3 linked regions of the Lepisosteus oculatus genome follow. The protein of the gene in region 3 interacts with the protein of the main gene of each other region in a pairwise test. Links are inferred from orthologs where the notes say so. Each region holds a gene or a part of one and is shown on either strand. Other genes may lie near its edges. The genes, in order: hspb1, olfm3a and stub1.

The links.
Region 1: the proteins of stub1 (region 3) and hspb1 interact in binary tests that used the Homo sapiens proteins (3 or more experiments, as listed by UniProt). The link is inferred for Lepisosteus oculatus from reciprocal best matches to the Homo sapiens genes STUB1 and HSPB1.
Region 2: the proteins of stub1 (region 3) and olfm3a interact in binary tests that used the Homo sapiens proteins (3 or more experiments, as listed by UniProt). The two-hybrid records come from large-scale screens. The link is inferred for Lepisosteus oculatus from reciprocal best matches to the Homo sapiens genes STUB1 and OLFM3.

What each region holds. Positions count from the first base shown.
Region 1 is NC_090721.1:3,380,093-3,390,484, reverse strand, and holds hspb1 (heat shock protein beta-1), read right to left. Parts: upstream 4,974-10,392; 5' UTR 4,859-4,973; coding exon 4,465-4,858; intron 2,770-4,464; coding exon 2,706-2,769; intron 2,484-2,705; coding exon 2,318-2,483; 3' UTR 1,011-2,317; downstream 1-1,010. UniProt on the Homo sapiens protein: Small heat shock protein which functions as a molecular chaperone probably maintaining denatured proteins in a folding-competent state. Plays a role in stress resistance and actin organization.
Region 2 is NC_090704.1:10,113,016-10,124,027, forward strand, and holds the start of olfm3a (noelin-3a), read right to left. Parts: upstream 4,266-11,012; 5' UTR 4,010-4,265; coding exon 3,941-4,009; intron 1-3,940.
Region 3 is NC_090714.1:6,184,827-6,196,049, reverse strand, and holds the start of stub1 (E3 ubiquitin-protein ligase CHIP), read right to left. Parts: upstream 4,713-11,223; 5' UTR 4,606-4,712; intron 1,223-4,605; 5' UTR 1,091-1,222; coding exon 977-1,090; intron 354-976; coding exon 155-353; intron 1-154. UniProt on the Homo sapiens protein: E3 ubiquitin-protein ligase which targets misfolded chaperone substrates towards proteasomal degradation.

The sequences.
Region 1 (10,392 bases), on a different chromosome or scaffold from region 3:
CACTCTTTCTTGTTAAACTACATACACCATTATTCCAGCCCCTAGTTCCTTACGTTTTGTTAGCCAGACCCAAGAAGAGGCTGCCATAATAATTTAGTGATTCCAAAGCCTTTACAGTAGCTATTCCATCACCATTCCTTTGTCTGCTTAGACGGCCACACAATGCTAAGAACATTTTTATTAATAAAAACAGTGGTGTGAGGGTTCAGTGTATGTAATGGGTGAATGGAGGCTTAAGAGTCGTTTTTCGAGGATCTTGAATTCTACACAAAAAGCATGATTCACGGGCACTGGAGAATGATGACTCAGTGACTGAACAAGGAGCTTTGTCATCTACAGTATAGAGGATAAGAAGGTTTCTGCCTTCCTGTTTATACAGTATGGTTCTTGGATACTCTGGGGTTCAGACAGAACAGGATTAGAGAGAGAGCATATGCTTTTTCTTAATAATAGGAGCATCTCTCAAATATAGATTAACTGCTAATGAAGACATAAGGATCTGCATTTCTGAAAGTATTTAGGCAGTTGAATAACAAAACTTGGGGTCTTTAATGTTCTTTTTAAATGCCCACTACCCACAAAAAGATGGCAGGCTGAAGTGTCTTTTCGTCCAAATAGATTTTATTTTGACGAGTGTCTGCCGTGGCTGTTATAAAATATACAAAGTGAGCCAGTGAGAAAAAAATAAAAGCCACTTCCATGCATGACAGCAAAGGGAGCTGAATAATTCATCTTTTGAATCTTACTTTTTGTTTCTTTACTTACTTTTTGTTACCATGTCCGTTCTTTAAAAGAAACAACAAACACTTTCTTGATCAGCATAGACTTGTGGTTATTCAAATGCATTTTTTCTACCATTCCAATACTATGGACAAAATATCGCATTACCATTGCTATTGACAAGAATTGCAGGTAACTTCACATCAGCAGAAATGCATGCTTTCATATCGAAAAGAAAACTGTTCTGCATTCTGTTTCTGTTTGTGAGACATCAGAACAAGAAAAGAAAATTGGTTCATTTCCGTTTATTGTGGCTTCTTGAAAGAACAGTTTCAGCTGTGCAAGAGCATAACACTGATACCCCTTTGAATGACTAGGTTCATAAGTTTAAAAGCTTATACAGTATGTCTTTACTGCTGCATATGGCAAAATCAAAACCGTCCAAAAGAAAGTAATGAGGAAAATTATGGAGCAGGAGACGTGTTTGTCTGAAGTTTAATCTTAAACCAAAAACGTAAGTCTGAGCCATGACATTAGACACATACAAGAACTAATCAGCTGGTATTTCATTCAGCTGCCAGTGACAATGTACTGTAACACCTTGGTGAAGAAAGCAGTGTCAAAGCTAATAAATCCTGTGCAAGACCACCCTTCCAGCCCTGTAATATCTGATTAAATTAAGAACAACATTTCTCCATTCTCAATCTACTGTATGTTAAAAAATCAGATTCTAATGCTATCCTCTTAAAGAAACACACACAACTATTTTGACTTAAAAAAGACAAAGCATTTATTTTTCAAAATTATGGAAATACCTTCACACCCACTGAAATATAGGCCGATCTCTACCATGTGCAAACTATAGCATTAAACAGATTCCATCAAATCAAAATATCATAACAAGAACAATGGTGAGTAGCAATTACCAAAAATAATAACAGAAGGCTATACCAAATTGGTAATTTATTCTTTAGTCTCACAATAGGAATAAAAGCCTACTTTTCTGTACTTCTTAGAAATAAATCTCTTTTTTTCCCACAAAAGGCTTGTAATGTATTGTATGCATAGTTCAGCTCATCCAAAGTCATACAGTATGTCCTGTATTTTTTATTCCAATGACAAGGCTATCTATGCTCCTAGTGTTCACGCAGGGACGTTGTGCCTGAGTGAAGAAACCAAGCTGCAGTTTCACAGAAGATGGCACACCCGCAGCCAGCAGAGCTGCAGTATCATAATGGAGAAAAAACAATACCCACACACCAGCCAAGTCTAATCGCATTCAGAGCGCAGCAAGCAAATCTTAAGAGCAGGAGGCAGAAGTGAAAGGGGAGTATTTGGATTGTATTTTAAATCTAACTCTAAAAGAAGGATGAAATGACTGCAAAAATGCAGGTTTGCAATAGCACGTAATGTAATAATACAAAGTCAGTGTGCTGGGGGGATGTTTCATTCACCGAGAAATTGAGCCAATTTCAAAAGAATGAAAAAAACAACAAGCAAAAGATAGTTTCTGTTATAATATTTGGGAAACTGCTGCGTGGTCAAGCGTTCAATATTAACTGCACTGCGCCTTTGCAGGTCGGTAGAGCAATGCTGGTTATTTCTTGGTTTCGACTGCAGGCTTGGCCTTGCTCTCCAGGGAGACTGGGATGGTAATTTCCGCAGCCTGGATTGCCGGTTTGGGAAGAGGAGCCTCTACGGTCAGCACTCCTTCTGGAGAGAGGGAGGAGACCACCTTGTTGACGTCCACGCCAGGAGGGAGCCTGGGGAGGGGAACGAGAAAGCGTTGCCGATTTCAGCAAGCAAAGGGAACACATGCCTGAGGGCCCGGACAGGTGATGTTGTCATAAACTGAATTCATGAACTGGACTTTGCTAGGAGGGCATCAGCTAGTCCTACTACAAGTGTTCCACACAACAAAGACAGGCTACCAGTTTTATACAATATATATTACACATGCTTCATACTGTTTTTCTAATACTCACGTGTATTTTCTGGTGAAGCATCTTGAAATGTAGCCATGCTCATCCTGTCTCTCTTCATGTTTACCTACAGGTACAAATGCATAGGTCAGGCATGGAATGTTTTCAGTTCTGAGGTTACACCAGCTTCCTTTAGCAACTGGCAATTCTCCCTTGACAGCATTTTAATAGATCCCTGTGTGTCTTCCTGCTTTAATATAGAACATTCCTATTGAAACTGAGATCCTGATAACACAGTTGTTTGCTTTGGCAACTGACTATTACTGCAAACAAGCACTGCTTGTATCACAGTGAAGCATATTCCATAGATTGCATTCATTTTATATGTGCTCATGGTTACAGTTGATTTCTTAAATTTAGCCATTACTTTTCAATGCATTTGAGAGACATCACGTGAAAACAGGTATATAAATGTTGCACTTTAGGAAATCATTACAAATGGTCTTTTTACTTCATGCAAAGTTGCAATGGAAATTATCAAGTGATAAAAACAAATTTAGACAGTAATCTAAAACAGTAAAAACTGACTTATTACAGTAACATAACATAACTTTATTAGCCCTATACAATTTCTTGAATTAGGAATTCATCTTTTCACATACCCCAGCTTGCTCTCCATGAGACAAACAGATAGGGAGAGAGCTTGGGGTCAGAGTGCAGGGTCAGTCATTGTACAGCACCCCTGGAGCAGTTGGGGTTAACAGCCTTGCTCAGGGGCCCAACAGAGTAGGATTCCTTTGCCAGCTGCAGGATTTGAACCGGCAACCTTCCAGCCACAGGCGCAGAGCTCCGCCCTATATACTTTTATAAAAGCAATCCAATGCTGCAAATAGTGACACACGAAGTGAAGCTTCTTAAAAACTTTGCAAGTCTGATTAGGAAATGAAACAGCCCTGGCTGGGCTAGCAGCTGACTCTGAAAGCAACAAGCAAGTGTGAGTCATCAGTGACTCAGCTGCAATCCCCATGGCACCGATGAAGGAGGGACGCAGTTATTGGCAAATTTGCTGGCTTTTCAGATGAAACTATTTTTTTAACACTGCCATTAAACCAGATGTAGACGGGAACAGATGCAGATCAGCTTGCTTTCGAACACAGCTATGACCATGGTAAAACTCAATTCATCAAGCATTCAAGTTCGGCCAGTCTCGGGGGCAGTGTGTGCTAGCTGTGTCACTTCAACAGAGAACCAGTGCTGTCACCCCAGCTGCCCCCTGCTCTGAGGAGAATCCAGGGAACACGTTGACTTCTGTTCATTTTCCACAACAAAGGCCAGTTCAGAAACATTTGTTTTTTTAAAACTAGAAAGACTTTCTCACTGAGATAAACTAGACAGCATGAGATATACCATATTCCCAACATTCAATGCTGTCATAACTTTTAAAAGAATGTGTTTTATGAAGCTGTCGACTTTCTTATTTTTACTAATTTGCTCCAAACAAACAGGCAACACATAAACAGAAACAAACATAAATCAGAAACAAACAATGACTACATATTAATCTTTATAAGACAGATGACATGATCAAGGCTGCACTCACGGTGAAAGGAAGGAATAAAATACGTCTGGAAGTTTTTTTTTTAACCCTTTAAAATTAAAAAGGTCATTTTGTTCTGTTTGCGAAGATTTAAAACCCATGAAAGCTGGTGCACCATACAGACCCTCACCTCACGCCCGCTCGGGCCCGTACCGTGGCCACGCCCCTCGCAGCGCTAGCGCCCCCAGAAGGAGGGGGGAAGACAGAGCTGCCTGCGGGACTCACCTGTGATTTCCACCACGCCGTCCTTGGTTTTTACCACCAGTTCCTCGGGGGAGAAGTGGTTGACATCCAGGCTGACTTTCCACTGGTCCTGGGTCTGCTTGATCTCGGACATGCCGCTGCTCAGCTGGCGGGAGAGCGCGCGGGCGTAGGGCGACATCGCCGGCCCCGGGGGCAGCGGGCTCACAGCGCTGGGGGCCCCTGCTTCGGCTGCCGGGCCCACAACTGAGGGCCGAATGTAGCCGGGCCAGTGAGTGCTCGGCCAGTGGTACCAGTCCTCGGTGAGGGCTGGCATGCCGAAGGACTGGTCGAAGATCCGGTTGCCGTGGAACCAGTCTCGGAAGGGATCCCAGCTTGGGCCGCGAAGGAAAGTGAAGGGAATGTGGCGCTCGGACATGTCGGCGAGGAACGTTTTAGGAACGGGGACAGACCACCCTCAGAAGGTTTTGCAGTTCTCTGCTCTCCTCTGCGCTGTTTGGAAGAGCGAGTGCTCTAAGTAATAGTTGGCCGTGGGCTTTATAAACTTCTCCTTCACTGCCCGCCTCTCACCCCCCCATCATATTTATAGAAGAGCCTAGAAAGTCTATTCATGGAAGACAGACCACTGGAAAGGAATTTAGTGTTCCAAGACCGCCCCCCCCCGCCGCTGGATAACACACTGTGTTTAACCCCCGGCTCCAGCCAATTGTAATCCCCTGCCTGGTATTACAGCCTGAAAGAGGAATCTGGTGTGAACCTTGCCAACACTCCTCTGTTGGAGCACGGCAGAAGCGCTGATAAGGAACAGCACTCCAGCAACTGCTGGAGCAGAGCTGTTCCGAGCTGCTTTGAAATGTATCATGAGGAGGGACTGCCATCACCGAAACCCGAACTGGTCACAGAGACGGGATTTCGAATGTGGTACATTCCTGAGAACTTCAGAAGCTACCCTGGTTCTTCAGAACCAAGCACAAAAATTGAGGCTCTTTGTGGCTTCAACCCAAATCACTTCAAAGTCATCTAGCAGTTTGTCTCAACATGCTACAAATGGGGCACCTGAATGCTAGAAGGGGCATCATTAGTGTAGGAAACCACTAAACACCAGTGCTAGGGAGACCCAATTAGTTCCTGACAAATGTCATTCTAATGACGTTTTTACAAACCTTCTGAAGAAAAAAATAAAGAAGCTGAAAAACTGACAGCAATTTTTCCTTTTTAAGCTGGGGTTTTCAGAAAGAAGATGTCTTTTTTTTGGGGGGGTGGGGGTGGCAGTAGGTCACACAGGTGAAGTTGCTTGTGAAGGCCTTGCGACAAGCACAAGCTCACTAAAATAAATCTAATACCTAATGTCATTTTCCCAGGACAGGCCTGGTTCCAAATGTCTCCATGCTTCGGCTCCCCAGGCTGTGACAAAATGTGTCTGAGGAGTTAACAGACTAGAAGTGACAGCTGAGAGGCTAGCTCAGGCCTCACTGGGTTGAGGATCTTGAAAAGCTGAACGACAGAAGTAATAACTCAGGCTTTCTTGTCCTATTCGCACTGTATATTAATAAGCTAAATATCACTGAGCTATTCATCTGAAACAATATTTTTTCAGGATTCTTTCACCCAGGGGGTCTTGACAGCAGTAGTCAACAGCATGAAGAAAGATGAGTTTTACATTAATTTTGAGCAGCTGATACTAATAGGTATAAAATATGTCAGGCTGTTTTTCTCTATAATAAGATTTAATATTCATTCGTAGCAAAGGAGAATAACACAGTTGTCATCTCCCCTTACTTTCTTCCCCAATATGTTTTGAGATGTCTGATGGTCATAATCAAACACTTCGGATCTGTATTACTGAATATCTAAACAGCAACATTCAGCAATGAATTAAAACATCTTCATTTTAAATATCAAAACTCATGTGAACTAAATATAGTCTCATTATTCTGACAAACCCCTAAAACAGTTATTCTACTATAGTGTATTGTATAACGATATTATCCTTCAATTTTATTTTACAGACACATACTGTATAAATCAATATACAGTATAACATTTCCTTTTCAGTGGGACATACTGTAGAAGGTTCGAGATCAATTCAAAAATCATCACCAACGTTTTAATTTTAACCTTACGACGATACTGAGTTTGAATTCTGCTGTCCAATGATTTTCTTCTAATCGTTTTTATGTAAAATTACAATGGCTCAATTTCTGATGAAACATTTAAAGGGAATTATTCTATAACTAAAGTGACGGCCGGCTCAATAAAAAATGAAATTCAGCACAATCTTCTGCGCACCACAAATCACAACGACAGGGATCTGTATATTCGTACAAACCCCCTTTTATTAATATTAGTTGAGTGATATCATATAGTCATACTTTCAACATTTAGCGAAAATCAAATGTGTTATCATACAATTTATCAGTACCTCCATTTTTTAACATTATTTCTCTCATTAATTGAACTGAGGGGCATAACTGAGAAAGCAACGAGAATATTCTCGAGATTAGGCTAAAATTAACGGAGGTGTCATCATGTTTTATTCTTGTAAGATACATTTACACTCGAGGTTCAGCCAGAAACCTCCAGCCTCGAATTCAACCGGAGTTACCAGAATATTCCATCACTCGTGTCTGAAACCAAAGGGATTTCATCACCCAAGCGAGGAAAAGTGGAGGAAAAACAGGCTCGCGAGTGCCCTCTATGGGATGAATTCGTTTACAGAGAAACTCACATAATTTATTTGTGTGTGTGCAGTATGAGCAGTATGTGCCAAGTGTAAAACCGTAGTCTTATCACAGACTATCGTTAATCTGCCAGAGGACTGAGAACTGCTAATTAGCACGCATAATAATAAATAGCCCTTTAATTTGTTGTTAGTGTTGTTGCTTTGAACAGACAAACACGGGGGAATATACTGTACCGGTGTGCGCTGATTGCATATGAAAATTGTCGTTTAGTTTTTGCTCAAGACTCATATAACAACCCTCAATGCCATTCCATTTTTCTGAAGGAGATGTGCTGCTGTGTAGCATTATCTGTCCTACAATACCTGCCCCCAGACCTCAAAGTGTAATACATTTAATTTCGTTCTTTCCCATTAACCGATTGACGTTATATAATGTTAAAAAAAAAAAACAACTGTGTTCTTCAACGAGGAAACTCGGATCCCCCGTGTCCCAAATTTAAAATATTGTTCTTTTTTTGCGGAATGAAGCTCGGCTTGAACACAGGGTTGACGCAGTAACGAGTTAAAGCGACTTCACTGCATGTCGATGCAATGCTGTAGTGATTGTAGGGTGGAAAAGTGCGCATGCCGGCGAGGGTGACGGGCCAGCGGGCGGACCCTCGTACAACTGTCGAGCAAATAGTTTCTTTTGGAAGCACTGACCAAGTAGGAGGGGGAAGATAATTCAGCGTGCGAGGAGCTGCGATTACAGTCCAGTGTTGATCAGAATGACTAACCCTTAGTAATTACCTGTATTCTTTTCAAAAAGGTAAATCCAGTATTTCCATGTATTTTCTTGTCTGTGTATAAATTCAGTGGACTATCTTATTATTCACACCTGAAGAAAGCTCCACGGCCGAAACCTTGTGTTTTTTCTTCTCTTTTCAGCAGGGAATAAACCTATTACTTGTTCCTTTGCAGCCTACGCATGCTGACGCAGCTGCCCACCTGAACTATCTTATTATTTGACTGCTTAATTGTAATACTTCTAACCTGGTTCAGAGGGATGTTATACTCTAGGTGACTGTAATTTTAATGAAGTGAATGGTTTCTGTAAAAGAAACCTTGAGAAAAATCCTGTATATGTTCTATTTTACTAATTTCAGTTAAATTGTTTAATAACTACTCGCACTAGATTAAAAGGGCCCTCCAAGGACGGAGTATGAAATCGCTGAGATGCAGGGTCATAAACTAAAATGTTCTCTGCCAGGACCTCCATCACACGTTACTGGTGAGTTTAATTAACACAGGCGATTGTGGAAGTTGGCGGCACTGTGGTGCAGTGGTGTGCCCTGCTGCCTCGTGCCACGGGCTTCTTCTTTCTGCTCCAGTTTCCTCCCACAGTCCAAAGACATGCTGGTGGGTTAAGTGGCTGGTGGGAAAACTAGCCCTGGTGTGAGCGTGTGTGTCAGTGTCTGCCCTGAGATGGACTGGTGTCCTGTCCAGGGTGTATCCTGCCATGCTTGCTAGGATAGGCTTCAGCTCTCTCGTGACCCTGTATTGGATAAATCAGTTAGACACTGGATGGATGGAAGGAATAGTGAAAGTCACTCTTACCTTCCCACAGGCTGTGTGGCTTCTCAGGCTTTTTTGTCGAAGAAAAATCTACCCGATTAGCATTCCAAAACTACAAGTGGAAACCCACAAAGAGAAAATGCAGGTAAAAAAAGGCCCAGGGATAGTTTTTCTTTTTAAACCTGTTGTGAGAATTTTAGCACAGTTTTACTTTGAGGTAAAACGATGGAGATGTTCTCACTGGTATACAAAGCCCTGAAAACAAACACACAACAAAACAACAGCCAAGTTCCCATTGTTATGTTGTTTATTGTACCGTGTATTAACTAGTACACTACAGCTACTGACTTTTATACAATCCAAAGGTGAACGTAGTTGTTCTTTTTTTTTCCACATAATTTGCTTGTTGTTTTTTAACTCGGGTTACATTTTAAATGTAACATTCAGAGGGGGACAGAGACTGAAACAGACGAGGAAGACTGAAGGTTCCCTGATACACCACCAGCATTCAAATCAGTACAAAACTGAAAACACATTGGAAACGCATTGTCTGTACATGGACAGCTCTCCCTCATTGCTTTGTACAAAATGACAATGAAAAGGAGATACTGAAAAGGGCTAATGTCCTGAAGCCATGGACATTTTGGGATATGCAAAACCATTGCCGCATTAACAGCTAGTATTCCTGGATATAAACCAGGGACACATATTTGAAAATTCTACTGCATTTCTTCTCAGGTTTAACTGGCTGCTTTATTTACACTCTGAAATGGAGGCCTGAAACTACGGTGCGATATACCTTACACTGGACTGAGGGACTTGACAAGCAAAGGTTTGGGAGATAAGACAAATATCCCCCTTAACTCATGCGACTGATGGAACACTCTGCCACTATGGGTTAGTAATCCTTCCTCCACGGTTTGGTTTTGCCTTCACTATTTTCTGCCATCCCCATATCTCAGGGGTTCCAGGTCCTTGAGGCCCATGCACCTGCTGGCTTTCAGTCCAGCTGAGCTTAATTATGTAACTGAACTATCAAGTTGCTTGATTGGAATACATGCACTTTTTGTTTTTGCTCAGACGTTTGGGATTCTGTGTTACTTATAGTGCTACTGTCCTAACACGTTTAAGAGCTGAAAACAATCAAACAGTTCAAATTAGTGCTGGGTTCAATCCCGGGCCCGGGGAGCTATCTGTGTGGAGTTTGTATGTTCTCTTGTTCACATGCATTTTCACTGGGAGCTCTGGTTTCCTCCCAAAGTCCAAAGGCATGCTGGTAGGTTGACTTCTGGGAAACCTGGCCCGGGTGTGAGTGTGTGCATGTTTGTGTCTGCCTGCTCTGTGATAGACTGGCATCCTGTCCAGGGTGTATCCTGCCTTGTGCCCTGCTGGGATAGGCTCTGTCTCCCCTGCGACCCTCAATTGGATGAAGTGCTTAGCAAATTGAAAAAAAATTGAATTAAATCAATTGAGGGTTTAACTGTGTACAGTAAGGAAGAGATTGGTTTGAGTTTACGGGCTCCCAGGACAGGAATAAGAACCCCTGCCATCACTGCTGCTACAGCAGGTCCCTATCTCTCTCTTGCTCCACATGGGGGGGGTTGGTTAATACCTGATGCTCATTGGCCAAGCTGTCGTGCGTCATTCCGGTGGATTAATGCCAAAGAACACAGGAATCCCTTTGCTTAACTAAGCAAAGGCACTTAGTTGTGGGT
Region 2 (11,012 bases), on a different chromosome or scaffold from region 3:
ACACATATGTACACGTCACAAAAACAATGCCCAACCTCAGTGCTAATACATTTCTGTTTTTCATATACTTTATTTTGAGATAAGAACATATGTAAGCAGCAGCTGTTTTTAGGTCCACAAAATGCAGTGCTACTGCAATATAAATACCATCCAATATAATTATTTGTCTATGAATAAGACAGCAATGACACTAAGGGTTAGTAAAACTATCTGGTTGGAGTCATTCTAATAACCACATGCTTAAAAGACTGTGGAATACAATAAGGACATTGAAAAATATATTGTATCTAAAATAATGTTGCTCCTGCTGAATGTAAAGTATTATGATAAATAGTTCTTGTTGATTTTATTGTTTATAAAGAAGTTGTAAACTGGACATTTATTCCATATTACTTTATATTTTAGCACAAAAATAAGTGCAGGAAAGCATTGTTGTACTTTGGATTCTACCTTTTTCTCAGAAGACTAAGGCCTAGATTCTACCGAAGATCAACACAACTGCCAATTGCAAAATCCATCCCCAGCACTGGTGGAACACTAAGTCTTTCATTGTACAAATATATTATTCTATAAACACAATATTGTCCATGGGAAATATATAACCAACAGCATGAAACAGGCTCAGGATTTCTAATTCCATATGAGTCAAAATTTGATTTAATCATTGGTTTAAAAGAAACATGGTAATGATTATGGGGATTAAACTGAAAGACCATAATTATGTTGGTCTTTAAGGATCAATAACATTTCATTTTCCATAGATTTTCTTTGCTTTGTACACTTGATCAAAAGTATTTTTCTACCTGTAGACCTAAAATGCTGTATATTAAAAAGTTTTAGAAAAACTGTGATAAAAAATTTGAAAAATCACAAGAAGCTACAGTAAGTATTCATAGATCATTACAAAGCATGTTCAGGATTAAGGATTTAAATTAATTCACAATGTCTAATTGGTCTTGGTGAGTCATGAATGTACTTCTGTCTTGTGAAGGTTTTACCCCATTATGAAATTCAAAATCGTCAGCCGAGATGCATTTTAATGGGGTTATTTGTACTGGGCAAAGCAAATGTGTTTCAGGGTGAGGGAAATCTTTTTTCACTCTTATTTTATGCCCAATAAGTGCCAGGAATGGCACTAATGATATAAGCTAAAATATACTGGTGCTTATTTTCTGAGAGGTCACATTGATGTAAAGGTGAATTTATTACTAAGGAGACCATTTTAATGATTATTTTTTGTTGCATTCAGAAGCATTGCATCAACTTAGATCATACTGCATAGAGCTGACAGCTCATATTATAATCTTGAAAGACCTGCCTGGGTTGAACATTAATCTATTTAAACACACTGAATCAATCAACAGACAAATTCAGATGCAAAAAGTGTTAACTCTTCTAAAATAGATAAGAAATTGCCTTCATATACTGTAGATAACTATGTTACATCCCTTTACAGGTGTGTGGTTTAAGTACCTCATATTTTTAAAATTACTGCAATAATGACAATTTATAAAAGTTGCAGTTGTGTAGAAATAAAATATAAGGATATTAACATAAACAATGATATTCAAAATGTGAAGACTGAGAAATGTTTGATGAAATTACCCCCATGCTGATAGTTGATGAAGGGTTCGTGAGTTGTTTTCAGCACCAAGACCAGTAACCACCTAATTATTTTACAAGACTGTAAAGTAAATAACATTTTATGTTTTTGTTGTTAAACTCTGGAATTAACCAATTATCATTCTTTAACTTTATCAGAACAGAGGATTGAGAACAGTACATGCTTTCCTCCACAATGAGTTCTTGTCAGATTTGACTGCCATTTTCTATACTACATGTCTTATGGTGCCTTATGGGAGTTAGCATTGGAGGAATAATGTGACATTCAATATCAATACTGCAAGCTTACAGGCATCCAGCGAGAAAAACAGCCTGCTCTTGCACAAGCAGTCAAGGATATGGGTGCCAGTCAAGGATATGGGTGCACCGGTAGCTGATGAATCCCAGTCACTGACTAAGCTTAAGAGAAGGTTTAGGTTCGTATCAAAGCTATCTAAATTATAAAGCTCAACTTGTGCTCTACTTTAACATTTTAACAGGTTGATTTTCTCAGAAGACGCATTTTGTTTTACTTGTAGATGCAAAATAACCAACTGAATCTAAATCTTAATCTACTTTGGCTGCATATCAGTAATATGTATAAAGTAGGTTATTATAAAGTTAGGACACTCGCATATATACATTTCTATTTTGTTCATTAATTCTTCAGTCACAGAAACAAAGTGTGGGAGGAAATTAGCAACAATAATTTCAAGAATCATCAACATGATATACTCCATGGCTCTCTGACAAAAGAATTGACAGTTTATTTCACACCACCAGATTTGAAACAACAATATTTTGGCTGGATCAATTGTCAGTAGCCCTCTTGGAAGACAATAACAAAACTGGGATTGAGCTCTTACATTTTGAAGTCGATGAAAACATGTGCATGCAATGGAGAGTTTGAAAACATTTTTATTATAATATTTAATTACTGGACATACAGTATATACAGCAATGTAAAGCTTTTGCTATACCATACAGAAAAAATTCAACTTCTGCAAAATTGATAAAAAGCCTTCCTTTGACTAAATAAATATTGTTGTCACAATAACACATCTCAATGTCAGGGAAAAAAAGGCCTTTGAAAAAAGCCCAGAGCATTCTCTTAAACCACTGTTGTTGATATTATTGGACTTAGTATAAGTGTACATTAAGAAGAACATTCAAAGTATACAAACTATTTGTGCAGGAGGGGATGGAGTGATTGTAAGTGGTAATTTAGTTAGATATTGATTACATTTTAAAACCTCAGGTAACAAAGTCATTAATAATAAATAGACTAATAAGTCAGCAATACGTGTCTAATGGCTTAAAATGTGTTCATGTAAGCACATTTTCTAAATTAGTATTTCTTTCCCTTCTTTTATTTCATGCAACACAAGAGATAAATACCTTTGTGATTGTGCATTGTGTACACTGTTCTGCATTTCGATACTATGGGAAACTAAACTGAACCACTGCATCACGTATCTCAAGTCTCCATTTCTATACAACATGTGTTAAAGCAATGTATTGTCCTTGTATTGTATTTCGTCAGGTTAACCGGGATTATTTTTTTGTCTTTTCTGTTTTCGACGACAGTGTATTATAACAAGCAAACAATTTTTAGTCAGCACTTGTGTATTAATTTGAATTTAGTGATGTGACGCAAATTTTATTTTTACATTGCAACTATATTGCCGCTAAAATGGCACAAAACCCTCATTAATAAAGTTCTAGAGTTAGCTGTTCTTATCCATGAACCTAATACTAACACCATATTAGAGGGGATATTCGGATTAAATAGTAATTTAGACTTCGTATATGTTTCAGTTAATCTCGACGAGATCATCCACAATGTGGTAGAGGCGTAACAGGCGCTTAATACTTTATCACTGCTTGAATTTCAAACCGCTAGCTTAGTCATTGCTCAACGATGTGTATAAACGCTATATTTCAATTATCTGGCAGAATTTCAACGTTATTTTCCTAGTGTGAAAGCTTTGCGCCTTCAAACGTTTATATATAAAGTGCATGCGTGCATGTTGCATGCCGCGGTAGCATTCGCTCTTTTACCTTGAGCATTGAAAGCTTTCTTGAAGCATCCTCCAGTTGTTATGTTACTGATATAATTAATACGGATGTTTTGCCAGTGGCCAGCAAAGACAACCAGCTTAGCGAACTGGAACGGTACAATTCTCCTAGAACTGCAGTGCTGGTTACAGTAAGCAATATATTTTACCAAGAGGATTTTTCTCCAATCTTTCTCCTCACTAAACTTACCTGTGAAGTGTTTTACATACGCACATACAATAATCTTCATTTCATAAAGAAGAACAACCAACCAACTCACCACAGACGGATATAATCCGAACAGCATCAGCAAAAGCAGAGGATTCAGAATCCCGAACAGTGCCTGCATTCTGTTTGGAAGCAGTTGCACTTTACTCGCTCATTCACTCACAGCCTTCACTGCAGGACCTTGTCAGGTTTACTACTGGAATATGCCTGGCGATTAAAGCGCCCCAGTGGAACAAGACGGATAGATCCTCATTCATTACACCGCTCTGAGGGCTTTCGCCGTGCAAGCAATACAGAATACTCCGGTCCACACTGTCAACAGGAAAGTTTTGACCTGAAGAGAGATTTCGGGGGCTGCAAAGGAGGTGTTGAAACCTGCACAACGGAAATGACATCACTTTCTTTTCCCTTTGGGATTATGGAAAGTTTTTTGTGTGCATGGGGGTCATTGTTTATGAGAAAGTAATTCTTACCAGAGGAAGTGTTCAATAATGCTAGAAGACACTTAGAATTTTTCATTTTCCGTTCGAACCAGTTGAATTTTATTCCACATCAATTCTTAAAATATTGCTTTACATTAACAGTTAAACGCATACAGTAAGCCCAGATAGTTCTGGATTCTGCTCGAATACACCTGAGCATCAGGGCAGACTTGAAGAGTCATCTCTCAGGTACATACTGTATACTCTCTGCATCCCACATAAAGCATGAAATCAGAATTTGTATAGTGTATATGTTTAAGTTAACGTGTATTACAGTATCACACCAAGGTTATAATGGTCACGCGTTAAATGTCCTTGCTACATATTCTGATATACTGTACCAAAAACGCTGTAATGATATCTTGATAAACGATCCCGGTTTATGAAATTCCGAATTCCTGTGCTTTTCCTCACCTCCACTATGCTTTTTATACCTGAGACCTGGGTTAAGCATAATTCACTCTTGGTTTTTTGTTATGCAAGTAAAGGGATACATTGTAAACGCTGCGGTTTCAAGATTTTTTAATGTTATTTAATCGCACAAAGTTTCATAATAACAATTGTACATGGTTTCATTATATTTTTAACTGGTTGCTGATTAACAAAATCCTTTAAGTTGTTTGCTTTTTTCCCCCTGCTTAGCCTGAGAATTTTCATGTCAGTTAAATACATTTCAAATATCCGCCTTCTCTTGATCTTTTGTTGCTATAGTTGTAAACATCCAAGAAAGAATGATCTTTTTTGTCACTTCCAGAAGGGTCTATATATCACAAGTGTCATTAAAGGTTGATTACTGTTGGCAACAGTATTTATAGTTTGTAGAATAGTATAGAAAAAACCCTTGATGTGAACAGCTTTGCATTTTGTAAGACAGCCTAGGTATCTAATGTACATCTATGTAAATTATAAATAAAATAATTGTTATTGTAACATCGACACCTGTTCTTGGTGCAAGGTCAGTAGGAAGATGTCTACTGGATCATCATCTATCATGTACCCAACATACGCAGAGGTGCTTAACATTACATCTGGAAGATTTGGACTTTTGTCCTTGACCAATTCTATTATTAGCAGTACTAGTTTCAAGTACACTTGACAGAATGTTGATTATGCTCCAGCTAACCATGGAGTTGGGCTGCAGTCTGTTGCATAGGGTGGCCTTCACTAGCTTAGGCTTTGATTTCTCCATGCTTGTCATATGATATTTCCTCCCCAGGAGTCATTGCATTCACCACACTTTCATCAGACCACAAAGGCATACAGTACTTTATGTTAAGGTATGATGCTTTCTGATTGTAATCACAGAGCATACAGCACCAAAATATGAAGTCCCTTTACACAGTGCATTGCATTTTTGTACAATATGTGGTATTTGTACATTATTTGTATTTTATGCCAATATTTTCTTTGTTTTTTAGTTTTGTCCAATTCTATCATGAAAAGTTTGAAAATGAAAAAACAGAACAGATTAATATAACATTTTTGGGATTTTCATGGCACTCAATAAATACAGTATGTTATACATACTGTATAAACTGAAGTAAATCTGTATTTTAGTGCTTAACATTACATCTGTTATGTATTCCTAACATAAAAAAGTTATGGCTCAGTTTTATTAAGTGCATACATGCCTATAGCTGAACAATACCTATAAATATGTTTTTACATAATTGTTTCCATAATTAGATTTCCAAGTATTTATTATAAGAGGACAGTTCCTGAGGGCTCTGCACAGTTGGAGTCCAGGTTGTAAATGAAGTGTATGTTAAAGGCAACTCTAATACGTGATCCATATAATTATACTTGAAATTGGTGAAAAATAATTTCTGTTTTCCACAGCAGTAGCCCTTTCGTCATTCAACCATTAAAAAATCCCATTTTCTCCTTTCCATTTCTTTCCAAAATACTCTGGATTTAAAGCCATCCTCTAACCCATTATTGCTGCCCAGAACGTAGATCCTGTCTTAGCCAACCACAGAAAACTCCATTGATCTCCATATGACTGTGGAAATTAGGGGATGGTTCAACACTTCTGTGGTGTCCCTCACTGCTTCCTAGCCTCAACATAGAGCTCTGTATGCACAATATGATAAAGGCAGCGGCTATCTCACTCTGCAACTCACAACTGGCAGCCTGCTGAAGCTACGCAGGTACTGTATCAGCCTGCCCAATACATGTATCGGAGACATCCTATGATAGCTAAGGTTGCTTCTGGAAGATGTGTTAGTAGGTCCAGTAGGGAGCACTCACCAAGTGACCTGTGTTGGTCCTAATGATGGGAACACTATACTGTAAAAAGACGCCATCCTTCTGATGAGACGTAAAACCTGACTCACAGTTGTCATCAATAATCCCAGGGTGTTTCTTGAAAAGAGAAGGGGAATTATCCCGGCATTCTGGCCACATTTCCCCCTGACCTTTACCAATCACAGCCTCGTAATAATCCCCAAAAGGAATATATAAGTGTATGGAATTATTATTATTATTATTATTATTATTATTATTATTATTATTATTATTATTATTATTATTATTATTATTATTATCATGTCAAGATTGGAAAGGGCTCATTGGCACAAAGAGAATGTGGAAGCTGCCAGAGCTGAGCAGTCCTCCATAAGGGCAAATTTCTCTTATCTTCTTGTGATTAAATATAAATCGCCTAAACATTAATATCCACTTTTGCTGAAATGCCTGACCTCTGATTGGTGTTGGTTCTGGAGCTGGCTTCTTCACCCTTATTAAGCTCGCTTTCTGTTACTATCAAGAAGTCAAATTAAGTTAGGTATGATCGTTGGCAGCAGCCACCCAGCACAGACACTTCTTCAGATTAAACATCCATTTGTCTAATAATTCATTAGTAAATCACTGAATATACAAATCAATTTAATTGTAATTAACTAACAGCCAGATAAGTGACTAAGTAGTACAGAACAAGACATAATACTTATGTTGCGTTTTATATTTGCAATCCCATGGCAATCTTTCACACACTTATAAAAGTAAAAAAGCATTCACTCCTTCTTTCATAATTATGTGATCCATGCTTGGATATGGATATGCTTGAGCACACAGAGCACCCACAGACCTGACATCTATGATAGGAGAGGAAGGGAGTAAGGAACAAATTGATTAGGCTGTTGCATTCATCCATTTAAACCTATCTCAGTTTTTCAAAGTATAATATTTGAATTAGTAAATTCTATCATGTGTAATGATGGGTAGATTTAAAAAAAGAGATATTTTGAAATTCGTATATATTGTATTTACAGGCAGAATCGTTTTTGTCATTGAAGGATTTAAATGCAGTAATTAATACAGTAAAAAGTAGCAAAATATTTTTTTATAGCAGTCTGCATCTCAAGTAGTAAGGGTTCCAACTGATACCAATATACAAAAAATGTAGTGGGTATGCCATCAAACCTAAAAGACATGCCTTTGTTCATAGTCTGCAGTTTCCTTTTTAGCTCAGTTGGATGCTTAAGGCCTTTGAGTAATTGTTTGCATATGTCATTATTATGTGGGGTGTCAGAACTATATAATATAAAACAAAAGGAAGTGTATTCAGAATTGAGCTGAACTGGATTGGAATTTGATACCTTCTGAGGTATTAACAGAAGAAATATTTGACAAATTTTCATTGTTATAAAGTTTAAGATATACCGTATAAAATGGCTTGGTAGACTGCCATGAAAGCAATTTAGCTTCTGATTCTCTTAAATATTTAGATTCCAGTTCTTTAGTTTTACATAAATGGCATTGCAGCACAGAGACAAAAGGTGTAGAAACAGTCCTGATGAAACCCTTTTTTGTGTGAATTATAATGCAAGAATCATTCACTGAGTCGTGATTAAAAGACAGCAGCTTCTGTATATCACTCTGCAACCCACTGAAGCTCAGTGATGTAAGCCTGGTCAGTACCTGGATGGAAGACCTCATGGGAAAAACTATGGTCACTGCTGGAAGAGGTGTTTATGGGGCCAGTAGGGGGTGCTCACCCTGTGGTCTGTGTGGGTCCTAATGCCCCAGTATTGTGACAGGGACACTATACTGTAAAAAGGTGCCATTCTTCGGATGAGAGGTAAAACTGAGGTCCTGACTCTCTGTGGTCATTAAAAATCCCAGGGCATTTCTCAAAAAGACTAGGAGTGGTACCCCGGCGTCCTGGCCAAATTTCCCATTTACCTTTACCAATCCTAATAATTCCCATCTATGAACTGGCTTCAGCACTTTGTTCTCCTTCCCACTGATAGCTGGTATGTGGTGAGCGTTGTGGCGCACTATGGCTGGTGTTGCATCATCCAGGTGATGGAGACTGTACTTTATGTCTCTTATTATAATGCATAACTTCAAAGTTAAAAACAACCCCTGATGACCATAAGAGTTCTTAAATACACATACGGTGGATTTTTGGTCCCAGAAAAGATGGGAATACTTTACCTTGTTACAACATTTTATCAACAAACAATATGTATTTGGTTAAAAAACACATGCATATCTTCCTGTATATTTTATTATTCTTAAACTATATCATATTTGTAAAGACATAAAAATATAAATAAATAAAATCAAGCTAACTTTAAGTAGCTCAGAGTCTCTCCTAAGAACAATAAAAAATATGTAACTTCCTACAGTATAATCTGTTTTATTAATAAAATGTAACTACCCAAAAGAAAAACAATTTATAAATAAATGAATACCCTACCTAAGTTCCATGCAAGGCCAAGATTAATCCCTTAATTAATATAATTTGACATTTAAATCATAAAGAAAGAACATATAGCTTTTTGAGGTATTCTTAGATTTATTTTATGGATCGTATTGTTGCTGTGAAAACACAATGCTTAACTGGTTAAACTTACTTAATCTAAAATATAAATCTAAATATTGGAGTGTTCTTCTTTTTTGATAAGGATAAATCTTTGCATTGTAGATAGAAAACCTAATTGTGAAATGTTCTTTTAATAAAAAATAGTAAAACTGATAAATGAGGTAAACTTTAAAGCCTTCTATAAGTATCATCAGTATTCACAGAATACCACTTAATAAACATCTTGAATGAAGACCTAAGACAGATTTTTACATTTGAAAACTCCAGCTGCTTGTTATTTGGTTTTAATAAGAACAGCCTGTGTTTTCTTTGTTACAACATGGTGCAAATAGCTTTTTTTCATCTGTTAGGCTTGTTTAAAGATGAATCACAGCTCTAGCCCTGTGCTATAATTATGCAAAGGAAAATAATTCATGTACAAATGAATGTGCTGCCTAAGAGTTCTTCACAGTCAATTCCATGGCATAACCCCTGGACTAATGTCAATTTATTGACTGAGTGAAAATGTCAAAGTTTAAATTCTTTAAATAAATTATAAAATATATATGTAAAACGCACACAGTAGTATACACGAGGACCTGTACTTACCAACAATCTGGTGAGTAGATCATCGACTGAATGATAAAGATGGTGTGCTGAGAATCTTGGTTTTCCATTTCTTCGTAGTACACTGATAAAAGTTGTCACCGGTCTATACCACACAGGTATCTCGTTTATTCTGTTATTCAAAATGACATTTTTAGCACATACTGAAAGAGCCTGTGGTTCAGATGAAATATCCAGTATATACATTCAAACATGGAGTGAGGCAGTTTTTTAAAACTTTTCAACAGTCCACACACATTTGTGGTGCTTGTTCATCTGGTCTTTGGCTCTTTCCACCTTTGACTAAAGTTGATCTATGTTTAGGTGTACATGGTCTATGTTTAAAAAAGTATTACACAGCAACAAATTATATTGTTGTAGTGACAAAAAAATGCTGAAAATTCTGATTATACCTGTACATGTGTATTACTGAAATTAACCTTTCATTACCATTTTTGTTGTAAAAGAAGAGCAATAACAAGTGACAGCTTGTGCTGTCCCTGGGGTGATTGCTGGCTTGTTGGATTAGGAGATAATGAATGGAAATATATACTGTGCATTTTTTAGTTTGAGGGGATGTAATGATTTTTTTTCTTTGTGCCTCTCAGCAAGCAATATCAATACCAGTTCTCTACAATAACACAATCAACTGATTACAAAGCAGAAAGGGTAATTAAAAAACCAAGGGAGTCTCAGGTTTAACCCATATTGCAAACATTTTACACTTGACTTTGAAGAAGGATTTGATTTCTCTACACCCAAAATCAGTGCTCCTTCTATTAACAGATTCTTTTAAACAATTACAGTAATTTGTTCTTATATTTTATAACAAAATTAAAAAAAGCAAGTGAAGTGTTGAGTGTCTTAGATAGCTCCCCAGAGATCTTAGTCACTAATTGGATCAATTTAATATTTGGGTGTGTAAGGGCCTATTATTATTAATTTTAACTATTTACGAATACATTCATAATCATTTTAATTATATTCTTATATGATGAGCAAATTCAAAGGGTTATTATTATAAACAAAGCAATCTTATTTATAGGGGGTACATTGTTATCTTATTGAAAAGATATTATATAATTAAATTAATTATGCTGATTAACGTTGTCATCAGCAGGGGTCTACTATGAAAGCTACAGGCTAATAGCGTATCACTGTTGTGAGCAATACAAACTATACTGTATATCTGCGATGCATGCTTTGCACCAGATTGCAGCTTCTAT
Region 3 (11,223 bases):
AACAGGGTTTACTTTGGTATCTTACAAAACGGGGAAAAAAAGAGCTGAACTCTTCCTAGAACGCAGTCGGACAACACGTTCAATAGCAGCCAGAACTTCTAATTCAATTTTTAAATGGGCACTCCAAGTGAAGGGAGCTGGGGGAGGGTCTGACCTCTCTGCAGGTTGCCAATGGCTTCGTCGTAGTTCTCCATCTCCAGGTGGCACTGGCCCAGGAAGAAGTGGGCCTTCACAGACTGGCTGTCCAGCTCCAGGGCGTGCTTGCAGTCCGCCAGGGCCTTGTCATGCTGCTGGAGTTTCACATAGCAAAGGGCCCGGTTGGTGTAGTACACAGCCACCGAGGGGTTCCGGTTCTGGGAGCGGAAATGAGAAAACCGAGGTTAAAAGAGGGAGGCAGCACCTTTCCAACTTAAGCTAGCAAAGACACGAGGAAAACAAAACAAAGAGCACAGCATTACCAAAGGGCACTTTCACCATGCAAAGGCTCCCTGGGTACTGCAAAATTGTTTAAAACTAGAATCACCTAGTCTCATAAGGCATTTAATTTCATATCCAAATAAGCCTTAATAATTAGAAAAGACCACTTTATTGGCCATATACAATTTCTTGCATTAGGAATTTGTCTTTGCGCAGACCCCAGCTTGCTCTCCATGAGACACACAGTCAGGGAGAGAGAAGCTGGGGGTCAGAGAGCAGGGTCGGCCATTTATACGGCGCCCCTGGAGCAGCTGGGGTTAAGGGCCTTGCTCAGGGGCCCAACGGAGTAGGATTCCTCTGCCGGCCGCGGGATTTGAACCGGCAACCCTCCAGCCACGGGCACAGATCCGTTGCCACAGTGCCACAGCTCCGCCCACAGGGACTGGCATACAAACATTCCCTTTCTGTCTCAATGGAATCTGCTCACAAGGGATAAAGAACTCTGACTGGCGGGAAGCTACGGGTACACTCGAGCGATCACAGGGCCACGGCTACTCACGATGGCTTTGCTGTAGCAGGCGGCAGCTTCCTGGTACTTGCGGCTGAGGAAGAGCCGGTTGCCCTGCTCCTTCAGCTCCTGGGCGGAGGCACTTTTCTCGGGGCTGCCCGCCATCTTCTCCGCGCACCCCGCCGCGCCCGCTCCACTCTGCTTCCCAATCCTGCTCCCCGTGTCTCCGGCTGGGCACCCCCCCTCGGGCTGCGTCAGGCTGGACACACCCCCCCCCCCCCCGCCCCCGCCCGATCCCTGCAAGGCAGAACAGAGCAGAGCATCCTGGGATTGCGCGGAAACAACACGTCCGTCACACATCTCTGTTTCCCCGACAGGACGCGGCAAAGACACTTCCCGAAAGCCTGAAAGGGGGAACCGCAGTCCCAATTTCTCAGACCTGAAATTTTACGGCTTCCAAATTAAGCACAAAAACGTGCCCTTTGTGAAAGCACCGGAAATCGCCATGTTGTCACAAACTCTCATCCGAGTTTCCACGAATTGTGACGTGAAGCGGCCCTTCCTGCTCACTAGTCACTATAATGACTAATGTAATGGGATGTATGAGCAATTAAATGCAGGTTGTGCAGCAGAAATTTCATCGCAGGAATGTTCCAACGTGCATGCAGATTTAACAAGCGAGTGGCATTTGTTGGGGAAAAAATAACAGAGAAATATTTTTATTGGACTAGAAGGAGATGTATTCACAAGCCTGCTTCTCTACAATATAAGAGGGCCGCAACACGTCACTGAAGTTTTGTTGCCTTGTTCCGAAACGCACAATATAGCGCATACCTGGAAATGTCCTCTATTTTGTGTGATGTAAATTGGAGGTTTTACAAGTTACTGTGGAGATTTTACTTTTTATTGCGGTTTCAAACGCACTCATCAATGGTTATTCTAGCCCCGAAATATAAAGATAGTGTTGCAGTTCCCCTATAAATATCCTGTTAAAAACACAAAAAGTGTGGCATCACCTATGCCCAAAAAGCTTTTCTAGCAAACGCAACAAAACTTTTCTATGTCGTGCCATTCCTGCCTGAGCACCCCAGGGTGCTTCACAAAATATCAGCAAAAGCAAAGCAAATAAAAGTCCAGGTACTGTAACTGTGAACACACTGCAAAGTAAAATATTCTCCTTCTGCATCAAAACGAAAAAAACTCAAAGATATGTGCTTCATCAATGGTAGTGCAATCCCTAGCTTTCTCCTTCAGTGCTCCTCAAGAGCACTTAAATAGATGAAGATAAAGAAATAAGGACACCATTGTCAATGCTTGGGGAAGTCATTACTTGAGACAAGGGTTGCATTGACCCCAATTATCACCAATTTTGAGCTACCTTTTGCAAATTCTTAGAATATCACTAATTAGGGTCTTCAAAACGGAAAAAAAAAAGTTTTAAGCCGCACACCTGTCAGTAGCTTAATTACAGCCAGTAAACCTGTGAAGGATGCTTCAATTGTGGCACTTAAAGGTTCTGCAGTCCTGCTAGAGAAAATGGTATTTCTAAAATGAATTTATGTTAATCTGATATACATGGAATATAGTTGTTTTGCTCCTACTTTATTGACTGAAAATAAATTACATTTTGCAAAGCTTTTAACTTCTTTTGTGATTATTCACATTTCAAAAGTTTGTTTAAATTGCACATCTCTAGAGATCAGCTGCTTTAATTGCTAATTTGCCAGAATGGAACTGTTTATCCTTCTAAACAGAACTCTATTGCTCAGTTCTGCTATGGCAGATTCAATGAAGACTCTAGAAGAGGAATTAACTATATATCTACCATCGACATGATTAAAAACAGCACAATGCATTGCTGTCATGTGAAAAAAAAACATACAACAGTTCAGGACAAACTAAAGCAATGCAACTGAAGATAAAAGCACACACTGAATTGTAATCCATAATACAGTATTAGTTCATTTCAATCAGGAAAGCCACATGAGATATAACCTAAGATGGGTCAGCATTTCAAATAATGGAAATTCTTTCATCGAGCTGCACAGCCAATGAAAGGAACACCAGCCTCTCGGGTCTCTCTTGGATACCAGCGATAATGATGTTTGCTCAATCTTGGTAATGCAATCAAAGGGGGTTACAATTCAATTATGTCCAAACCTGCAGCCAGATACTCTTACCTACATCTGGGTTTAATTAAAATATATGAAACCTTTCCCTGCATGGCTTTTACACTGTACCTCAGGGACCTGTACTTTTTACTCTCGTCTATATGAAACGTTTCGACATACTTACAAGGCTACAGCGGTAGGTTTCATAGGATGTACTAACAACGTTTCCTTCTTCAGGAAGGAAACCAGGAATAAGAGCAGAGGCTCTTAAGTATTTGATCTCATATATACAGTACATGTCAGCAGATCCTTCAAACATCAAAACTTTATCAAAGCGAAGTGAATAGGGCCGGAGGCCCTAGTCTATAATCTTGGCCTGGTCTGGTTAACAGATCGCTGGCGAACAAAAATTATGACAAGAATTAGCCTATTTTTAGAACCTCCATACTATTGGCACAGTCCATTGGGAAGCACATCCACACACAAGCCCAACGAGATGCCAGTTAAACCAGCAAGCATGATAATTATGGGGGACACGCAGACTCCACACAGAAGGCACCACTTCACCATGAGGAAAGTAGAAATTTCAGAACACTTCTAGTCGTTTTGCCTCCTAATTTAATGGCATAAAAGAGCCATACATCTATAGAGGGAAGTCACTAAAACAATCGTGTTATATTAGTTACCATCACTGGGCTTCCGGAGAAGATCCCAGGACTGACAGATAACCACATGGGTGGTTATCATAACTAAAACAAACGTTTTTTCCACGTGGGGTCGACTAAAATATACATCTGGAACTAAACAGGACTCTACATTAATTACTTCGATCATCCCTATGACAATCGATGCGGCTGAGAATTTAGGATCATGGGTTCTTTGGCGAGTTGTAGGCTTCATGTAATCAGCCTCAGGAGACCAGTTATCAATGAGATCTGCCCTGCATTCCCATAAAAACGCGTGTACCGAGAGAAAAAACGCTAAATTTCACACACTCGCTGTGGTCTGCTGACTAATCAGTCACCGACGGGTCCGGGGCGATATTCATTTTAAGCAGAAACACTTATTAACTGGGCTGCAAAACACGTCACGTCTGCTGACCATCTCGGCCATGCTTATACGTGAAGTGCCTCATCAACTAACCCCAAGATTTCTAGAATAAGGATCTGCAACATGTATTTCAGAGAGTTAAAAATAATAATTCACTCTGGGGGGTGTCTGAAATAAGGTGTAAGGTCTCGTTACTTATCATCAGTACACGTAGACGAAAATTAACGGCAATATCCCCAACAGAGGTTTTTCCTTCTATAAAGATGGAAAAGAGATGGCACCGGGACTGTGCAACGGGTCCGTCGGTATCAACACCATGACATTTTCGGTACCAAATTGCTGTTTACAACAGGTAGCTACCATATGTCTGCAAGCGTGCTTTCGCCCACTGTTGGCCACTAATACGTATATTTCATCGCTTGGTTTGATCTATTGCTTCTCCTCTAAAGCTGATGAATCGCTATCCCAAAGGGAAAGACCGGCACCCCATCCCTCCCTCCCCCGCCTTCCTGAACCTACCGGATAGCTGAAGCGCAGCCTTCCCCGCTGCCGCAGAGGTGTCCCTCGGCTGCTGTCAACAGGCAAGGTCGGGGTTCCGCGCAGCCAGTTGGCCTTGACGTCCGCTTCACCTCACGTTTTGCGGGGGGTTTTTCTTCCCAGAGAAATATGTAGACTCACACTGTGGAGAAGAAATGGGCGATCATGGGTCAGGGGTGCTATACTCGCATTGCGTTTCTCAGAAAATAACGGCATTTGGGGCTTTCACCCCACTCCCGGACTACGAGTCTCATCCGTCTCTTGTTTTGATGGCTGAGCCGCTGTCGGAAGTTCCTGCCCGAAGAGAGTTCGGGTCAAACTCGGAAGTAAAACAACGGAAGACGACCATAGAGTGCAAAGCGATTTACCGCTGTCGTTTAACCCTTTATTTTTGCGAGAAAATGGATGAAATAGAGCATAGCGGGTGTGCTTTGCCGGCTGATTGCATTCGTTAGTCTTAACGAGCGGATTTCAAACGTAAATCACCGCTCTAGGTTGATTTAAAATACAAAAACATAGACCGGGAGAACGTTTGCAAACCGAGGAAGGGATTAGTCTATAGCCAGTTTGGCAGTCACTAGTCAATTGATCCGAGGATGTCATCCAGCCATTTCTTAATTTGTAATTATAATTTATGTCTAGGCTGACAATTCAAATATGTGTTCCAATTCAATTCAATAATAAAAAAAAAGCTGACAGTAATTCTAGACATTTTGGAAGTGTGGACGGTCAACACAAGCAACAGATGTGCTGTGCTTATGGTGGACCTGTTGACTTTAAATATATACTCAATAGCGTCATGATTTAGTATAATTATAGCAGCATAGTAACTTAAAACTATAGACCAGTCAGAGTTTGTTACAATTAACGGTTTGTAATGGAACGGGGCTTGTTGAAAACATAACAACATAAGAAAGACTCATCTGGTTTGTAACCAACTCAATTGCTACTGTAGCTAGTAGTCAATTAGTTATCACTTAGTAACTAATTGATGTGAGGATCTTATCCAGCTGTTTCCTGGCAACCAGGGTATCAACATGGATAACACAGCTTATTCCATTTCCCCCACAAATCTTTATGTAAAATGCCTCCTGTTGAAAGTTTTTACTGTCTATTCTGAAGAGACATTTCTCTTAAGCCTGCAAAACATTTTGTAACTTGATGATCAAAACTGCATGTACAGTATTCTTAACAATGTTATCTTTTAATATAACATCCCTTGATTTATATTCTAAAGATTTAGTTAATTCTCTAACTTCTAAGTGGCTGCTTGTGCCACCCAATAATACTATTACACCCAGCATTATTTTAGAACCGAAAAGCTCAAACCTTGAACAAAGCTCTGAGCAAGTAAAAACCATTTAGCCAGCAGCCATATCACCCTGCAACTCACAACTGGCAACCCACTGAAGCTAAGCAGGTGTGAGCCTGGTCAGTACCTGGATGGGAGACCTCCTGGGAAAAACTAAGGTTGCTGCTGGAAGAGGTGTTAGTGGGGGTGCTCACCCTGCGGTCCATGTGGGTCCTAATGCCTCAGTATAGTGACGGGGACACTATACTGTAAACAGGTGCTGTCCTTCGGATGAGATGTAAAACTGAGGTCCTGACTCTCTGTGCTCATTAAAAATCCAAGGGCGTTTCCTGAAAAGAGTAGGGGTGTAACCCTGGCATCCTGGCCAAATTTCCCATTGGCCCTTACCAATCATAGCCTCCTAATAATCCCCCTCTATGAATTGGCTACATTACTCTGCTCTCCTCCCCACTGAGAGCTGGTGTGTGGTGAGTGTTCTGGCGCACTATGGCTGCTGTTGCATCATCCAGGTGGGGCTGCACACTGGTGGTGGTGGAGGGGAGTCCCCATTACCTGTAAAGCGCTTTGAGTGGAGTGTCCAGAAAGTGTAAGCAATTATTATTATTATTATTAACATCAAGCAAATACTGATCAAATACTTCCCTAAGGAAGAAAGTTCAGTCCTGTCCAATATCAACATAATTGTTAGGCTTCAGGAGACCCATTGACGTGGAAACTGAAACTGCTAGTCTTTGCACATTCACTCACACACGTGCATTTTCTGGGAACAAGGTGATGACAAAATTATGATACCCTGTATATACATCAGATTCAGACTTTTATTTTACAGGTATCAATGTGTACAGAAGTTTAGTATGTGATTGAATCCAAGACAGAAATAGCAATAGGCAACATGAATCTTCAAATTAACCTCTTTGCTTGTTAAATATGAGCAAATGCTAGCTAGGGTGCCAGGCTTCAGTTGTGTTCTGTAATATTCCAGCACTCAGACTGTGCTCCAGGGGGCAGTCTTGTCCTACTTCAATACACATCCACACGCCTTTCATGCAGTGTTCTGTATCCCAATGACCTTGCATTGTTTATCTCCGAGGGACTGACGTGTCTTTCTCCCTGTGGTGCTGTCTCTTGTGTAGTTTGTGGTATTCAGCAGATCATGTCACTGTCGCGCTGCGCTCGGTCTGAAGTGATGAGCTTCCTTTTTCATAATAAGCGTGAACGGACTGAAGAAAACAAAATGCATTTAAGTTAAAATCTCAAATTCCATGTATAAACTGCATGATATGAATTCACCTTGCGAAATGTTGAACATTGATTTATTGCTCAAGTTGCTACATTATGAATACGAAGGAGTGAAATTGTTTTTGAATAATTACTATTATTTATGTGCTCTTAAAAGTGGATTGTAAAAGCTGCAACACCAGTTGATGGGGAGTTTTTCCACATTCGGTCACTAAGGTGTGGAACAAAAGCAACAAAAACAGACCAGCAAAAATAAACACATTCAGGTTTATTGAAGTTGAATGCATACAGCAAACTATCACCATCAGTTTACAAAGGGCTTTGCATGTGTTTTCCATTAAACTACACTGGTAAAACTTATTATCCAATTCTGGGAGGAGTACTACTGCCAAACCTTCGAAAAAGCACTTCATTCAGATGGATCCAGTCATTTCTTTTGGTAAATTTTGTAAATGAGGATTTGTTCTCAGGTAATAGGTTAAATAAAGGAATTTAAAAAGACTCCCTTTCACCTGGATAAAGCTATTGATAGCAGTGAACCATTTTACCCATGACTATTTGCTACTGGCACAAGAAGACAAGAAGCAGATAGCATGAAATATATGGGATCACCATCTTTCTACTAATATTATGGTGCAAAAAAATTAAAGGAAATTAAATTTTTTACGTTTTACAACATAAAACAACAAGTAACGCAGCCACTGCAGTTACAGAAAAAACTGAGTTAAAAGCACACCACTAGATTTATTTAAAATTACCCCGACACCTAGAATATACACAGAGTCACACTGTTCTAAGCAGGATCACAGTTAATTATAATCTTTAGACAATAATTACTGATAAAAAAATGAACCTTAGAGACAGGTTTTTAGAGAACAATCAGCAAACCTACCACCTGAAAAATACAGTAACAGCTAGGTCCAGTCCCTCACAGCTGACTCCCATTTACACTTGAGACCCCTGAAAACAGAGACTGAGAATCATCACTGTTGCACCAGTGAGGGTGGCTGGAAAAAAGACAGTATGTCCCTTGTCCCAGTTTGTGATCCACTCTTCCGGGTGACAGCTGAACACCTGCATGCTGATGACCAGTAGGAGACTGGGGTGGAAGGAGCCTGAAAGCGAACATCTACTGTACATTAGCAAACAAGGACTGCGTGAGGGCCATGGCTGAATCTAATGGGGGGCGGGGATGATCCATAAAGCAGGCCACTTTGACCAGACTAAGGCCACTTCAGCTTGACCTCCACGCCATAGGCGATGAAGAGGAGGCAGGACACCACGGTGCAGCTAATCATTTCCCTGTGGCACATCGTCTCGAACTCCGTCTTGATTAAACCGTTCAGCATGCAGAGGTGGCAAGCAGGGAAGACGATGCAGGCGGAGAGGACGATGACCATCGCCAACCGGGGGACAGCCTTGATGAACTTCTCACAGCGGTTGGACTTCTTGGAGTGGCCCATGAACTCCAGGAGAACCGTCAGCCCGGTCATGGAGAAGCAGAAGCACCAGACGATAATGCACCATACTTTGGCTGGGGTGTTTCTGGACGGGTCTCTGTTAGCAATGGCATTGCCCAAGGGGATGACCTTTTGAAGCGCGGTCAGGGGGTCCCCAATAGGCGACACACTGTCAATGGTCCTAGTGATTTCAATTTTCATGAGCTGGGACAAGACCACTGCAATGCCAGCAAGGGCGATCTCGCAGAAATGGACGATATTCAGCTTAGACGACTTGAAATCCTCACCCATCTTTGCTGCTGATGGCGTCTCCTTGTTTGTGTCCCTTTGCTTCTGCATGGTAGAATGAGAGCTTTGTTTTACCTTTCTGTTTTTCGTCTATTTAAGTGAGATTCCTAACTCCTCCCTTTTCCTAAGAAATGATCTCCCCTTGTGAAGTACCCAAAGCTCCGACAACAGCAAACATTTGAGCGATGTGCAGCTGTTTTTCAACAGGCAACCTTTTAAACAGAGACCAGCTTCAGTTTTAAAATCAGCTTTTTCTCATTCTGAAATACTTTGCAGGTGGTAAGGAAGATCGCAGGTCAATGTCCAGCCTATTAATGTCAAAGGCCACAATAAATGGGCTACAGCAAAACACAAACTACAGTAAACTAACAATGTCCACAGCTTTCATAACACCAAGACACCCATTATTTTTTACTTTTTATAACTTCAAGCTGACCCTAACATTCTATGGTTAGGTGGGTAAAGGATCTGAGGTACAAACTCAATCGTTACCCATTTACAGTACCTGGAGATGCCTAAGAGGAAGGTTAGAAACAAAGGATTTTAACCTGGATTTGAAGGTTTTGCAATGAACATTTCTTGGCAGTATTTACTTCGTTGGACACAGCTAAGACTCGGCTTTTTTGCTCGACTTGCTCTTAGTGATTCCAAGATAAAATGAATCGCCCTTTTAAATAGCTCACTTGCTCTTCAAATTGCTTTACCAGTCTATTAAAAAAACATTCAAACTTCGCTGGACTCTGTAAGACACCTAATATCACTGTCACAAGGCATTCTGGGACATCAGTGAGGCACATTTTTCACCGTGTGGTGATTTTTGATTTTGTGTTGAATGTATGCTATCTGCTTCTTCACGTCTTGAGATCTAAAAGCAAAGGCAAGGAAACATTTTTTTATTGTTTTAAAATTTAGATCCAGTGACCTTTGCGTCAATGAGCTGACCATTTCTTGGTAGCTGTGTTCTTTTGACACACTCAGTTCTTTCTGAGAGGCACATTCTGTGGGCACAGTAACAGCACAACCTTAACTATACTTCCATTTCTATTTCCAGACAAAGAGTGCAACAATTATCAGAAACAATAAAAGAAGCTGTGCATTTTCAAGTAAGAATAGTACAAAACACTTGTTTGCTGTCACCGCGGTTTAGAATAAATGCAAAAACAAAAAGACACACAATCAAATAACAGCTCAAGGATGAGGAAGGGCTGTCAGAAATCCTTAAACTGAAAGTGATTTCACGAATTCCTTTGGCATTCCCTTTCATGCAAATTCAAACATGTCTCAAGTTTCTTTGTTCCAAACTAATCTCTCTCACGCGAACCTATTTTCCCCCCACACCTACACTTTCCCATGAAGAAAACACCTCAAATGACTAATCAACCGGGGACCGATTGAGGCAGCACACATTTTAAATCCGGCCTAGTAATGAGTTTTCTACGAAAATATTTGGAATGTAGTCCCCTTTTTGAAATTATTTAGATTTCACTCCATGACCAGGAAAGTGTGGACCACATTTATGGGCAATGATTGCATCCTGAAAAGCTGAGTGCAATGCTTGATGTTTTATAATATGAGTGGAGAGGTACTATAGCCAACAGGTACTGTGCTGTGCAATCAGAATGGATCCCAGGGTGTGACTTCTCTGTGGAAGACAGACAAAATCTATTTGGACTCACATTGTGTGATGAAGGTGTAATGGAAAGTTACTGAGAAAAGTTGTTTTATCCTAAAAATGTTGTTTACGGACAGAGCTGTGCTGCAGAAGCAGCTGGATACTCAGAACAAAGTGTGAGAGCACCCCAACTCGTCAAGGGTGCAGGATGTTTTAATAACGTTTATCTCTGCTGCTTGAAGAAGGCAGTATGAGAAACTATTAGAATAACTGCGCTTTTTGCTTAAAAGCAAAAACCTATAAGTAATGGAAAATGACTGCTTTGCCCGTCCTTGAAGTGTTGCATCAGCTTAAAAAAGATATAAAACAAGGGTTCACCCTGCTTGCTTTTGAATCAGCTTTCAATTTTCTGCACAGACGGGTGATGGCTTTTTCCCATATTGCAATATGAATAAAGACCTTACTGAGTGGATGAGAATACCTCTCCTGGCTTGTCTTCGATAACATTCCACGACAAATGCTAATCTGGAACCAGCACACTCATGAATACTTCAATACAATGAAAACCTTTAGGCAGGATAATGCATGACACCTGTTCCACAAAACCACATTCAGCAGGAGCACTGTTCTTCTGCAACAGAGTGTGGAAGCACACAAATTGGGACTGCCTAGGAGAGCAAGGACAGCCA